Linked DNA regions of Rhinolophus ferrumequinum. The protein of the gene in region 1 interacts with the protein of each later gene in a pairwise test. Links are inferred from orthologs where the notes say so. Each region holds a gene or a part of one and is shown in the gene's direction. Other genes may lie near its edges.

Evidence for each region. The genes of interacting proteins can lie anywhere in the genome.
Region 2: the proteins of BRAP (region 1) and NUMA1 interact in a two-hybrid assay, tested with the Homo sapiens proteins (2 studies listed by BioGRID and IntAct). The link is inferred for Rhinolophus ferrumequinum from reciprocal best matches to the Homo sapiens genes BRAP and NUMA1.

What each region holds. Positions count from the first base shown.
Region 1 is NC_046308.1:6,973,230-6,980,869, reverse strand, and holds the start of BRAP (BRCA1-associated protein), read left to right. Parts: upstream 1-4,278; 5' UTR 4,279-4,470; coding exon 4,471-4,552; intron 4,553-6,312; coding exon 6,313-6,474; intron 6,475-7,423; coding exon 7,424-7,622; intron 7,623-7,640. Other genes in the region: ACAD10 (acyl-CoA dehydrogenase family member 10), read right to left, coding at 232-428, 3,924-3,970. UniProt on the Homo sapiens protein: Negatively regulates MAP kinase activation by limiting the formation of Raf/MEK complexes probably by inactivation of the KSR1 scaffold protein.
Region 2 is NC_046294.1:47,675,361-47,682,801, reverse strand, and holds the start of NUMA1 (nuclear mitotic apparatus protein 1), read left to right. Parts: upstream 1-4,312; 5' UTR 4,313-4,399; intron 4,400-4,426; exon of another isoform or gene 4,427-4,543; intron 4,544-7,441. UniProt on the Homo sapiens protein: Microtubule (MT)-binding protein that plays a role in the formation and maintenance of the spindle poles and the alignement and the segregation of chromosomes during mitotic cell division.

The sequences.
Region 1 (7,640 bases):
ATTAATAGCCCTAATTTGATGATGAGGGAACTAAGACTCAGAGAAGTTGAATAATTTGCCCAAGTTGCTGAGTATCTCAGCGACTAAGTCATGCTTGAAATTTGATTCAAGAGCCAGAGTATCACCCACTGGGACAATGTGCTGCCCAAATGTTCCTCTTTCTCCCCTTATACCCTCTATTCCCCCACCCCCAGCCTAGTCTCCAAAAATGAAATAGAACGAAGAGCTCACCTGCAGCCACTGTCCCTGGAGACGGAATGAGAACTCCACCCATGTCAAAAATCACCGCTCTGTAGGGGCCGCCTCCAGAACGAGTCCATCGCCGGGCTGCCTGGTGCCTGCACTGGTTGTGTTTCAGGAAGGCTGCCCTCCAAGCCCACTGGAGAGGGGACTGGAAAAGCCGCCTTATGCACATGTTGTGGCCAAGGCTGCGTGAGAAGGCACAGGGCAGTTTGCCTCCAATCCAGACTCCCCCCCTGGAGCTCAGGGGTGCCAACTGGACATCTCCACTGACCTCCAACGCTTCAAACCACAACCGGAATTAAACTCGGTATCTCTGCCCTCCTTGACTACTCCTTCTGGGGTCCATAGCTCAGTAAAAGGCTCCACCAGTCACCTAACTGCCCAAGCTGGAAAACTGGGATTCGCCCCTGATGTCCCTGAGTCCCCACCCGGCAACCTCAACTCCAGTTGCTCAGTTCTTCCTCCTGAAAATCTCTACTACCTCTCTCCGCTCTCACTGCCATGACCTCACCCACAGATCATGGCAACAGCCTCCTAAACGGCCCGCTCGCCTCTTCTTGAACCTCCTCATTTTTCCTTCACTCTTCAACCGAGGAATCTTTCAACACTGCAAGTTTGAAACCTCCTATGGCTCCCCATTGTGAGGGTGAAATTCAGGGAATCAATAGCGCAGTTAAACTTAGCTAGTTTCCAACTTCACTCACCGCATAGCTCACTATCTAGCCACCTGTCATTAGACTTAGTTTGCTTGCAGTTTGATCCATCCTGATACTCATCTGTTTTCTCGTTGCTTCTCCCCTCACTGATTGACTGAAGAACTCTGTGCCTTTCCTCAGGCTACCCGTACCTTGTTAATTAACAACATCCTAACCTGAAAAGAGCAGTTTCTTAATCCTTAGGCACTGGGACACTGGAATCCCATCTACAACTTCTTGCAGGTTTTACTGGTGATGCACAGTCGCAAGGGCCAAGGCTGAGTCCAGAGCTAACATCGTCTCCAAACAGACCAGACCCCAGGAAGGATGTCAGCCCTCAGACCTGCCTGACCGACTCCCACTTTCCTATATAAGGAAAAGCTAACCTGAAGTTAGTGCAGCAGCCCACTCTCAGACTCCGGACTCTGCCCTGGCGACACCCTCCCTCCTACACCCCCCCGCCCCTGTTTCTCTCCTTACAGCCTGTGGCAGCCGACATCTTTGGACACTGCCAAGGGCACTTTCTCTCTTCCTAACTTTAATAATAAAACCTTTCTTCTTTCCCACTTTGTGTGTTTTGTGTGAATGCTTTCACCTTTTGTGAATGACCAGGGGTTAATTCCACACCACGAGACCCATTACTCTTATGATAAACTTCCTGAACCTGACTGAAAAGGACCTTTAAGATCTGTGTCCCCTCTTTCTACACCTTAACCTGGATGATCTAGACAAATAAATCTACATGCACCTTCCTGAAACAATATTCTCCTCCTGCTCCTAGGCCTTTCATATGCTGTTTTCTTGGCCTAGGAAGCTACCTTCCACCTGTAACCTGGCTAACTCCAAACTGTCCTGTAGGTGGTAGTTTACCTGTCACTTCCTTCCTGAAACCTCTTCTGGCTACCAGAAAAGACAGATGAGGAGTCTTTCCTGTATATTCCTAAGATACCCTGTATTCACCTCCTCCTAGAAACAAGGATGCCACCGTCACACCATCATCCCGCCTTCAGACCATCACTGCAATGGCCTCTTGTTCTCCATTGCCTCTTTTCTAAACTTACTTTCAAAAGGTTCAGGAAAAAACATACACAACACACACACATACAAGGTCTGACAATTAAGTTCACAAACTTGTTGCAATGATATTGCTAATCTTTTTGCTATCAGAGGGATTATTCATTATGAATTTGTACCGACTGGACAGTTAACCAAGTTTACTATGTGGAAGTGCTGAAAAGGCTGCATGAAAAAGTTAGACGACCTGAACTTTTCCCTAACAATTCATGGCTCTTGCATCACGACAATGCATCAGCTCACACGGCACTGTCTGTGAGGGAGTTTTGAGCCAGTAAACAAATCACTGTATTGCAACACCCTCCCTGCTCACCTGATCTGGCCCCCAGTGACTTCTTTCTTTACTGGAAGATAAAGGAAATATTGAAAAGAAGACATTTGGATGACTTTCAGGACATCAAGGGTAATACGACGACTGCTCTGATGGCCATTCCAGAAAAAGAGTTCCAACATTGCTTTGAAGGGTGGATGAGGTGCTGGCATCAGTGCGTAGCTTCCCAAGGGGCATACTTCAAAGGTGACAGAAGTGATATTCAGCCATGAGGTATGTAGCACTTTTTCTAGGATGAGTTCAGGAACTTACTTGTCAGACCTCATATTTATATCATGTGGAATTCACAAGTCAGGCAGAAATACAGAAGTGATACTGGAGAGCCTCCTCACTATAAAAACTTTAAGTCTCCTTTTCCCTAATGTCTTAGCTCCCTAGTCCCTGGTTGGAATCATTTCTCAAATCAGTTTCTTAATCGTAAACAATAGATTGTTTTTAACTTGAATCATAGAAATATCCTACCCCCTCCTTTAAGTCCCCTAAATCTTGTGATTTATGCTTGTTGTGATTTATCTTGTTGATTATTGTCATTGTAGCAGAGCGTTCTTTCCAGGCCTACCTCCTGGGTAAACAATAACTGAATGACCGATTAAACCAGAAGAAAGACCACAGGCTCCATGAAGCTGAACAAATTATTCGTCACACAGTCTCCCTGCGTCAGTGGCTTTCTGTCCTGCTCGTTGGACCAACACTTTTAACTCTATTAACTAAAATCTATCTCTCCTCATGTCGGGTCCATTAGGATGCCCCACCAAGACTTCCAGTACATTCTGACCACAGAGGTCAACATAGTCCTCCAGGTGGATCCCAAGATCCCTTACCCTCATCTAAGATCAGATAGGGCGAGAGTCCCGTGAATCCCCAATAGGCAGGGACAACGGCCACATTCAGCAGGAAGCAGATACAGAAGAGATCTCCTGTTCCTCAATGTCCCACAGAGACTTACCGGGATCACATCTCTCATGGGGGACATAAAGCAGGCTGTTAGAGGCAGGAATTGGGTCTCTGAGACACCTGGATACAGCAGGTAACATTCCTCCACTTCCAACAGTCTACAAGAAATAACCACCCAAAAGACCTCGGCTCTCCGCCCAAACTTGCCCTTGTTTACCATAACCATTAGCCATTATCAATCACAGGTATCAACCAAGCAGCCCCACAATTAGAGAGGAGCAGCCCATTCTAGAAGAGAAGGAAATAAAAACTCCAAGTCCTCACCAGTCAGCGCCTTTTGAGCCACTCTGTGGCTCAGGCCCACTCCTATCTCTCTTTGGAGTGTACTTGCACTTCTAATAAACTGCTCTTTCACCAGTGTATTTCTGTGTCTCATTCAATTCTTTGCTGGAGATACCAAGAACCTGGACAGGGCGCCGAGAAGGGTCCGCTCCCAGGTCACTTCCTCACCACACCAACAATGACTAGGCTCTCAGTAAACGTTTGTGAAGTGATGGGGCGGGAGTAGGACCCAGATCTATCTCCAGCACTGGACACTTAACAAACCCACCGCCCTACCCTAACAGCGATGGAGACACTGCAATCCAGTCCTTACTCCCCGCGGGCCCTCAGAGAAGCGCATTTACCTGAGTCTCAGCGAACCTATCTGTAAAGTGGGGCTGACACAAAGCATCCAGCCTTGAGCTAGAGCTAGCGGTCAAATAAAACAGAAAGGCACAAGGGCTCTCGACTGAGCGCGGGTTTCTCGGACCATTAGGAGAACTCGCGGGGACGGAGACGTTCCGCCGTCTGCTGAGACAGGCTGAAGGCGAGACCAGGGCGCACACCTACCGATCGGCCTAACAGGGCCCGCGGCGTCCCTCCTTCCCAACCTGCTCCCGATCCCGTCAGGCAGGTTTAGGCTCAGACTCACTTCCACCCCAGCCAATCAGGGCGCGTGCTGGTCTGCGCATGCGTAACCCTGCGGGTCAGCGACGGCGGCCGGGAGGCGGAAGTGGAAGTTGTTGTGGCGCTGAGGGTTGTGCGAGGATCTGCTGCTGCTGCTGCTGAGGCGGCGGCAGTGGCGCTGAGGTGGTGGCGGCGGCGCTGCTCACACCGGGCCGCTCGGCCTGTCGGCTCGCGTCCCAGCCTCTCCTGAGCCCGCCGGGGCCCGCGCCGGCCAGCGCCTGCCCTATGAGTGTGTCACTGGTTGTTATCCGTCTGGAGCTCGCAGAACACTCGCCCGTCCCCGCCGGCTTCGGCTTCAGCGCCGCGGGTAAGTCCCGCGGCCTCGCCGCCTTCCCTGTTGCTCGCGCCTGGGCCCCGGGGGGAGCTGGTCCTCCTAAAGTACGGGCTCCGGGAAAGGCCTCGGCGAGAGCTGTTTCTTCGGGAAGAAGCAAAGAGGGGGCCGGTTCCCTCTCACTCCATCCTTCCTGAAGAGGCCTTCCCAGGTGTGGACGCTGGGACGCCCTTCCCGGTCCCTCCCTCTTGGTGCCTTCCCACGGGCACTCTGTTTCTACCTGGCGCGTCGCCTCCGCCCTGGGTTACAGTCGAGTTTTGTAAGTTGTTTTCCTCTTGGCTTTGTGAAGGCAGGGACTGGATTTCAGCGACGATGAGGGTCCTTGGTTTAATTAAATCGTTCCTCTTTGAAAATGTATTCACTCAGGCTTCTTGTAACAATAGCGATCATTAATAATTCACATTTGTGCATTTCCTGTATCCCAGCTCTGTACCTGTGCGTCTTGTCTTTAATTAACAACTCTTATTAGGTTACATGGGTAGATGCCCCTTTTTACATACAAATTGGGAAACTGAAGCCAGGTGATTGAATGAGTTGCCCACGATTATCTGTAAGTGGTGAAACTGGGATTCTGATTCAGAGAGCTGGACTTGAAGAGTCGGAGCTGTTCCTTACCGGCCACACAACCTCCTTAGGAGAGAAAGGCAGCTATGACTGTTCCTCAAACAATTACCTGACAACATTCATTCAAGAAATACTTGTTGAATGCTACTGTCTGCCGGAGCTTTAGTTGTGTGCAGGATCAGAATCCCTGCTTTATTGGCCCCGGCAGTTCATTGGGGAAGACAGATGAGTTACAAAATAAAGGTAGAATTAGAAGTGTGGTACGTGCTGTGAAGGTAAGAAAGAAACAGTGTGGAGAACTATTACAAGAGGATGTGTTTGGTTTGGGGAGGGGAACTAGAGCCCGTAGGGATGGTGTCATTGGAAACTTTCCCGAGTATGTGAATTTTAGAGCTGCAAAGTAAAGATTGAATATGATTTAATGAGTTACGATGGACACTTTCCAAAGGCTAAAAGTGATCTCTGAGTTCTGAAAGTCAGCCAAGTCCTCATTTGCCACATACACACTTCTACATGGGTGGGTCATTGATTCATTTGGTCATTCAGTAAATCTTTAAAAAGCTTCCAGTGTGTGCTAGGCACTGTGGTGTAAGTGGTGGGCAAAGTAGGCCTTGTCCCTGCCCTGATAGAACTTATCTTAAGGGTATTTCAGTTGAGTCTCCAAATTCCTTTTCCATTTTTGTGTTTCACTGATTGAAGACAGTGATTGCCGATTTTCATAATACAATTCATGGCATGAGGTTAACATAGGTGGTTTAAGTAGACTACCCCTAACGGGTTTTGAAAGTTTTACTTTTTAATGATAATGACTTGATACCTTCCTTTGGGCTCAATACACAGTTGTACTTTACCAGGTATTACAAAAAAGTTGGCTCATCTGGGTATAATCATTCTCAAACCTTTCTTTAAGCTCTTACTCTCATTGGTTTGCTTTAAAGTGAATCGTTTCACTGGAACAGTCCTGCATTTCTGAATTTATTGCACTGGGTGTTTATTGACTGTCTGCTTGGTACTGCAGGAGCCCCAGAGGTGAGTGAGATGGGCACTGCAAAGGCATCTTAATATCTTCGGGGAAGGAAGCAGAGAGAAAAAGGAAACCTATTGGTGGGTACATCGAGAGTGGAGAGGAGCCCGTTTTATTATCAGGTATTAATCATTCATGTGTTCTTTAGCTGGGGAAATGTCTGATGAGGAGATCAAAAAGAAGACACTAGCTTCAGCTGTAGCCTGTTTAGAAGGGAAGTCACCAGGGGAGAAAGCAGCAGTCATACATCAGCATCTTGGCCGTCGAGAAATGACAGATATGATCATTGAGACCATGAAGTCCAACCCAGGTATCCTTTCTAAAATCTTACACCCTGTTTTGTAATGTAAGCCCCTGGTTGCCTGTTTTACATGTTAGTCAGTGAGCCCATGATTTTGCCCTCTAGCATGCTTCTCTCTTTCACTGACTGTGTGCCGCCTTACCTGAGATTGTCGAACCACGTTTCAGCTTCTCCAAATATTTCTCCTAAATTAATCCTAGCAAGCTGGGTTGACAACTCTATTCAGTGAGGAGAGCTGCTTACCACCTAGGTCAGTGGCAAATCATGCATAAATGCAGATAAGCATGTGTGTCTCTCCCTGCCTGCTCTGCCAGCTCACTCCACCCGGAGGAGTGGATGGGTAGCACATCTCTAGCATGGAGGTGCTTAGAACTGGGAGGTTTGGTTTTCACACTTAACAGCCTTGAATGTTTGTCCCACTTAGGAGTGCGTGATGGAAGACACCTGCTTTTATTGTCTTCCTGACAAATGTAAGAGCCATCCTTGAGTTTCTGAGGCTATTAATAAAACTTTTATGGGGCAAAGAGCACTTTTTGGTTGAGATGCCCCAAACACTGTTCTGTGAATATAGGCCTTTTTTTTTTTTTTTTTTTTAAATTGGGGAATATTGGGGAACAGTGTGTTTCTCCAAGGGCCCATCAGCTCCAAGTCGTTGTCCTTCAGTCTAGTTGTGGAGGGCGTGGCTCAGCTCCAAGTCCAGTTGCCGTTTTCAATCTCAGTTGCAGGGGGCACAGCCCACCCTCCCATGCGGGAATTGAACTGACAACCTTGTCGTTGAGAGCTCATGCTCTAACCAACTGAGCCATCCAGCAGCCCCCATGTTAATATAGTTCTTAATGTAACACATTATAATTTCTCTGTCAAAATTTATTCTTCTGAATCAAAATTTTAGTCTAATTAGAATCCTTCAGCATATTTCCTGTCAGTTTATCATCTGCTAATTTTTGATTTGTGAAAGATGAGCTGAAAGCTACCATGGAAGAAGGAAAGTCTTCAGAAGCGTCCCCGACTGCACAGAGAAGTAAAGATCAAAGTGAAGAAAGCATTAACGCTGCTCCCGATTCTCCGTCCAAACAGCTTCCAGATCAGATTTCATTCTTCAGTGGAAATCCATCAGTTGAAATAGTTCATGGCATTATGCATCTATACAAGACAAAGTAAGAAAAACCTTTTTC
Region 2 (7,441 bases), on another chromosome or scaffold:
AATCCCTATTCATGGTCTCCCATTTCCATCCCTTTTGCCCTATAACGTTTAGTTCCATTCACTCTGATGCTGGGCTCGGCCATGTGACTTGCTTTGGCTAATGGGATGTTGGTAAACATGAAGCAAATCGAAGCTTAAAAGAGGGCTTGCACTCTTGCACTTTGCCAGTGCCAAGAGAACATGGCTAGCCTGCTGGAGGGATATGAGGAACACGTGCAGGTGAGAGATAAGTGAAAGAGAGCCAGTGATCCCAGCTGAGACCACCCAGACTAGCCTAATAGCCAACCTACCCCAAGTCAAGGTCAGGAGAGTCACCCGGCCCACAGGTGGCTGCAGACACGAGAGGGCCCAGCCAAGGCCAGAAGAAACTGAGGCAGAGACTTGAAAGCAATAATGCTTATTGCTTTAAGCCACTATACTTTTGTATGTTTTTTTATACAGCAGTAACTAAACAGACAGATGCCCCCACTGTACTTTAAACAAAATTTTATCACAGCCTGTTTCTTCATCTGTAAAATGAGAAAAACCCCATCTTGAGAGCTGTTGTATATCCTGCAGCAGGTGCTCAATAAATTGAAGCAACTGTACACTCAACTCATTTCTTTGTAACCTACTTCCCATTCCCTTCCTGTAGGCTTAAAGACAGGGATAGAAGTCAGACTTCTTTCTCACTTCCCACCATTACCCTGTAGTGAGCCTGGCAAAGAGTGGGTATTCACTAACGGCTTGATGGATAAATGGAAAAATGAAAGAAGAAAAGGAATAAATGAATGACGTCTTCAAGGTGTCAGACAGTGAGCCTGACTGCTGGGGAGAACTGCCAAAGCCCTAGTCTGCCTTGCTTATTCCGGTGCCTGTGTTTTTGGATTCAGTCTTTCCCAGCTGCTGTTCTGCCTCATGACCAGGAGCAAGTCAGATCCTGGGCCGCCTTCCTCATCTGTTCAGACTGATGGACTTGAATGACAGGGTTAGGGGCATACCTGCCTTGTTATGGAATTTTTCTTTTCCAAATTAGAAATATCTTTTACTTTTTTTCTTTTTTAATTTTAAAGTTAACATGATAGCTGAATAAAGTCAACAACATACAGAAGTACATCAAATGGAAACTAAAAGCCTGACTCTCTAAAAATGATTAAGTTTGGGAATATACTCTCCTAGAAGACATATGTAACAAAATTATATATATTTTAAAATAAACACATACTGTCTATTCCTTTGTAAACTTATTTTTTCCTTTTCAAATTGTACACTCTTACCCTTTTTAACAGCTGTATTCCATAGAATTTGTGTGTACCATACTTTATTTAACCAATCCCAAGTTGATGGAAATTTGTTTTCAGCTTTTGGAAATTACTAACAACTGGAATTTCATTTGTTAGTAGCCTATTCCTTTCCTCTTCCAGGTAAGTAGCAACATGAAGCTTTTAGGAAACAATCAGATGAGATCAGATAGGAGGTTTAACAGCCTGGCTTAGAGAGGGTTTCTGTTTATGAGTTACAGGTGGAAGTAAAAATCAATGTCATGAAAAGTCTGCCAAATTACCGAATGTGTTCTGAAAGGTTATGTTTCCAGGTGCCAAAGGGAGGCCCAGATTCAACCTGGCTCCTGCCCACCTCTCTGCTCCCGTCTCCTATCCTCTGCTCCAATTCGGCAGCCCAGCCAAATGCAGGTACAGGAAGTTCCCTCCGCTGCCTCTGGGTCTCTGCACATCCAGCTTTCTCTGCTCCGAATAGTTTCTTCCTCCTTTCACCTTGCTAATTCTTCATGACTCAGCTCAGGTTTCACCTTTTCTGAGGCGTTTACCCTTATGCCCAAATCTTAGATGTGGAACTTCTCTTTTGGGCTCCCCAAATACCCTATATGTACTGCTACGGTAGCACCCATGACACTAGGGTGCTCTGCTTACTATCTGTATGTCCATAAACTGCACCAGGGCAGGAACCATGTTTTTTTTTTTCATAGTTCTATCCCTACCACGGTGGCAAGTAGTAACTGCTTAACAAATACATAAAAAATTGCGAGTGAATAATACTACAAAGGAGAGGAACATGAGGTTACCATAACTGAGGGATCTGACCTGGTCTGAGCAGTCAGAGAAGACATTTTTAAAGAAGTGATTGAGAGAAGAGATTGAGGAGAAATACAAATCAACTATAGAAGGGGGGAAAGATGAACACTCCAGACAGAAATAACAGCATGTACAAAGGCTCTATGGGTGAGAAGTTACTTTAAAGAAGGTCATATAACTGGAGGGAAGAAAGGGAGGGATATGTATGGTTAGACTGGAGGCTGTAGAGGTGGATGGGAGCCAGGCTGCGATGTTGATTGATGCTAAGAGCAATAAGAAGGTCAATTCTGAAATGGGGGTGGGCGGGGGGAAGTGAACAGTATCAAATTTACATTTGATATGGATTACTCTGGTTGCAATATGCAAAATGGCGGGGGGGGTCGGCTGGTTAGCTCAGTTGGTTAAAGCGCAGTGCTCTTAACAAGGTTGCTGGTTCGATTCCCACAGGGGCCACTGTGAGCTGCGCCCTCCACAACTAGATTGAGACAGCTACTTGACTTGGAGCTGATGGGTCCTGGAAAAACACACTTAAATAAAAGTTTTTAAAAAAATGGCTGGGAGGGAAGGCAGGAAAGATGTGATGATAGGACTATAGAAGTAAAGCTGATAGGACTTTATAATGGATGGGAAATATAAGAGGAATTAAGGATAACACTTGGGTTTTTTACTTCTTTAATGGTGGATACAGGTGAGAACACTGGAAGAGACTCAGGTTTGGAGTACATGGATTATGAGTTCAGTTGCAGATATGTAGAGTTCGAGTTGTCTTTGAAATATCCTGAAGGAGCCTAAGGGGACTTTAACAGCTCAGGAACCAATCAGTAAGTGGACCAATCAGGGCTAACTAGAAGCCAGCCAGAAACCAGCGAATCATGGCAGTATCAGATGTAGGTGCTGTGTAGCCAGACTTTCCTATTTAGTTAAATGTTTTCCATTGTCTTCAGTCTCTAGTTTTCTTTCCCATTTAAACTTTTAAGGAAGGATGTGAAACTCATTCAGGTTGATGTGTACATAATCCAATGTGGGCCACACAGGTTTCTTTTCTCTGGGCAATTCTGACTCGTTGGAACAAGTCTTAGGCTAGAGAGGCTGTAGACTCAAGTTACAGACTTGGCTGGAAGTTAGCACACTAGGGTCTAGTCCCGGCTGTCACTGATTTGGTGTGTGGCCTTGGGCAAGTCACTGCACCACTCTGGGTTTCAGTTTTACAATCTGTGAAATGGGGATAAATATCCTTGACTCGTGAAGCTCAAAAGAGACACTGGATGTAAAAGCGCTACATTGCTAAATGTAACAGATCTGTCATGAAGACTAAAAGGAATGAAGCTCTAACCATGGAGGTTAGAGAATCCCATCATGGAGGGTGTAGGGAAAAGCGGTAATTTGGGGACAGGATCCCTAGTAAGTGTGGAAAGATCCCTTTGAGACTGAGAAGCAGGCTCTACCCTGGAGTCTTCTTGCTTGAAAGGAAAGGGGCAGTGCAAGCCCCATAAATTTTCATACGTCTCCAGTATTAGGGCCTGTGTCTTTTTCTGATATTACTCCCATGTCTTGAAGAGCGTCTCAGTTCATCAGGAAAACTAACCCTATATCAGGGCGTTTCAAATATCCCACGCTGTGTCAGAGATTTGAGGCATTCGTATTAGGGGGCCCCATGTTTGTGATGGGGCAGGTTCTTAAGCACTCCCGAATCTGTACGGGTATGTCAGCGCCCTTCTCTCTCCTCCGCGCCCTTCTATTCCGTATGGGTGTAGAGTCTTGTCCACTGTGAAAGGAGGTAAGGGTTTTGGGGGGGAAGGGGTCTCTGGTCCCCGAGAAAAGAAATGACCCTCCCCTCTCCATAGAGCTTCTGTTCCCTGGAACGGGTTCCCTATTTTCCCGCTGGACTCACCCGCAGTTGCTGCCCTTCCAGCCTTGGCGTCCCACTCACTACCTCAGGGTTACCCAGCGCAACTCCATGGTAACTACCTTCGCTAGTACATCTCGGCCAGGCGCCGTAGGCGCTGCCGCGATGCCTACCGGGAGCTGTAGTTCGTCAGGGGCGGGGTTCTAAGGCCGCGGATGTGCTGAGATTTGTAGTCTTTGCTCTCAAGTCGAGGCGGGGGTCCGGAAGTAGTGACACCCCTTCTCCTTTCCCAGTGGCCCTCACACTTCCTTTTCCCGGGTCCTTAAGCGTGCCCTTGCGTGCATACCAGCCGACAGGAGCCTATCAGAGGGCGGTGCGAGGGGGCGGGGCCATAGTTTAAACTAATTGTGCGCTCCGCGCTGGCGCGAGCCCGCGTCAAACGCGATCGGAGGAAACGGGAGGCGGAGCGGGAGCGCGCGGCCAGGTAACCGGCGCGGGCCCGCGGTTGGCGTTCGGCCTGGGCGCCCACAGGAATGCACAGGCCTAGAGGGGGTGCTGGAGAGGCAGGTGCCAGCGATAGGCCTCCTGCGTAACGGAGTCTGACTGGGGAGACTCTATTGGGAGTAAGGTTTGTGAGGGGAGGGGTCTGTCGGAAGGGGAGGGGCTGGGCGTGCTTGGGGGGAGGGGAAGAGTGCTTGGGGGCGTGTCTGTGGAATTATGTCTGAGAGTGACGGTGGGGGGTGGGCGTGGGTAGGGCAGATTCCTGAAAGACTCGTCACGAGGGGTCCTTTAATGGGAAGTCTTCGCCTATTACTAACAATAGTAGTGGTAATAGTAGTGGTAAACATTTTCTGAGCACCAGCTACGTGCCAGACACTGTGCCACATGCTTTGTATGGATCGTCTTGTTAATATTGCTAACAACCTTATTATACTTTACTGCAGATGGGTCATCTGAGGTTTAACTTGGCCAGGATTACATAGCTAGTGCATGGTCGACTACTGGGGATTTTGAGGGTTGGGCCTAAATGAGGACCGGAGGGAGGAAGGGCTTTGTCTGTGGGTGCAGATTGTCTTGGAGGAATCAATTTATTTTGTCTCACTTTTCATATATGTAAACAACGAACCTACCTGCCTTACCTACTTCTTGGGGTTGTTTTGAGGGTCAAATCACGTAAGGTGTTCTGTGGAAGCATCTTGGGGAGTATAAATTTATGACTATAAAGTTACTGTGAAGGTTGTTGGTGGGAAAGAGCCCTCTCGGTGCCCTCTTTTGCTTCCTGATGTAGCGCTTTTCATCTAGTAACCTAAGAGTGTCTGTCTGCATGTTTGCCCTTCTAGAAACAGTGCCCTTTGTCCCTGTATTGTGATGCCTATGGCATGGCCATTAATGCATGCTTTGAAATGAATGAGCTTTCTTGGGCTGAAAGGGGATAGGAGCCTGGCTTTCCCATTTTCATTTAGTGGCCTTTGAACCTTTATTAATACAGTCCTCTTGCCTGGAATGGCACTGCCTCTTGAAAATGTGATATATACTTGCTTTAATCCATGCTTCGCTCTCTGAGGTCTGTTGCCTGATCTTGTATTTCCAAAGTTCTAGATTGTCAAGTGTGTTACTCTGTGGTAGGCAGAAACTTTTGATAGTAAGGGAATTGGGGCCCTCTACCTTGGGGAGATCTGTATGGGAACTTGGAGGGAATGTTCAGATCATTTAAGGTAGCTTTCAGTCAGCAGGGATGAGTGGATGTGTTCCCTCCGTCTGTTCCTGTGTGGTATTTTCTCCTGTAGAGGAAGAGGCACATACAAGTACTTCTCTGTAAAAGGACTCTTGACTCAAATTCAAGCAAATGATGACTAATTGTAATGCCAGAATTTTTATCTAAAGCCAAAAACTCTACCCCACCCCCAAACTAGAAGATCTTACCCAAAAGTTCACATAATAAACATTTCTATTTAGAATATTCTTTTTTAGGGGATCAAATATATGGTGATGGAAGGAGAACTGACTCTGGGTGGTGAACACAAAATGTGATCTATAGACGATGTAATACAGAACTGTACACCTGAAATCTATGTAACTTTACTAACAATTGTCACCCCAATAAACTTTCATTAAAAAAAAAGAATATTCTTTTTTGTTTATGGAATATGGGAGTGGGAAGAATGCCTAGAAGACTCAGCTTCTAGAACTCTTAAGATGGGGGCAATGCCCTGCTTCAGATGGCTAAACAGAGCTGATCAAGGAATGTTTGACAGCTGTGTCTAATTGATAACACCTTACGGTCAATAGATATGTTTGGAATCATTTATTTCAGCCTCTTACCCAGTGTACACTAATATATGAAAAGATGTTGTCCAGGGGTGGCCGGTTAGCTCAGTTGGTTAGAACCCAGTGCTCTTAACGGCCGGGATTGAACGGCCCAGTTCAATCCCCATATGGGCCACTGTGAGCTGCGCCCTCCATAACTAGATGAAACAACTACTTGACTTGGAGCTGATAGATCGTGGAAAAACACACTTAAAATAAATAAAAGCTTTTTTTTTTTTTTTTTAAAGATTTTATTGGGGAAGAGGGACAGGACTTTATTGGGGAACAGGGTGTACTTCCAGGACTTTTTTTCCAAGTCAAGTTGTTGTCCTTTCAGTCTTAGTTGTGGAGGGCGCAGCTCAGCTCCAGGTCCAGTTGCCGTTGCTAGTTGCAGGAGGCGCAGCCCACCATCCCTTGTGGGAGTCGAACCGGCAACCTTGTAGTTGAAAGGACGCGCTTCCACCAACTGAGCCATCCGGGAGCTCACCGGCAGCTCAGCTCAAGGTGCTGTGTGCAATCTTAGTTGCAGGGGGCGCTGCCCACCATCCCTTGGGACTCAAGGAATTGAGCTGGCAACCTTGTGGTTGAGAGCCTACTGGCCCATGTGGGAATCGAACCGGCAGCCTTCAGAGTTTAGGAGCATGGAGCTCTAACCGCCTGAGCCACCGGGCGGCCCCAAATAAAAGTTTTAAAAAAAGGTGTTGTCCATATTCGAAATGAACACTTACAAGAATGAGACCACTCAGGCAGTCCATATCAACGTTGAGCAATACTAATTAATAATTATTGTTATGTGCTGTTGGTGACAATTTTATTTTACCCATGTATATTTTCTTTTAAATTTTTATTGGGGAATATTGGGGAACAGTGTGTTTTTCCAGGACCCATCAGCTCCAAGTCAAGTCGTCGTTTACAATGTAGTTGTGGAGAGCACAGCCCACTGGCCCATGTGGGGATCCAACCGGTGACCCTGGTGCTGTGAGCACTGCGCTCTAACCAACTGAGCCAACCGGCTGCCCCAACCCATGTATGTTTATTCTTTGTTTTTTCACCATTCTTTCTTGCATGTCATTCCATCCTTTTGTGTCAAGCAGACAAATGTATCCTTCAAGTGTTTTTGTTTTTTAGTGACGATCTGTTAATAGTAAACCCTCTTTGTTGGAAAATATCTTTATTTCCTCTTCAGTCTTGATTGATAGTTTAGCAGGGTACAAGGCTT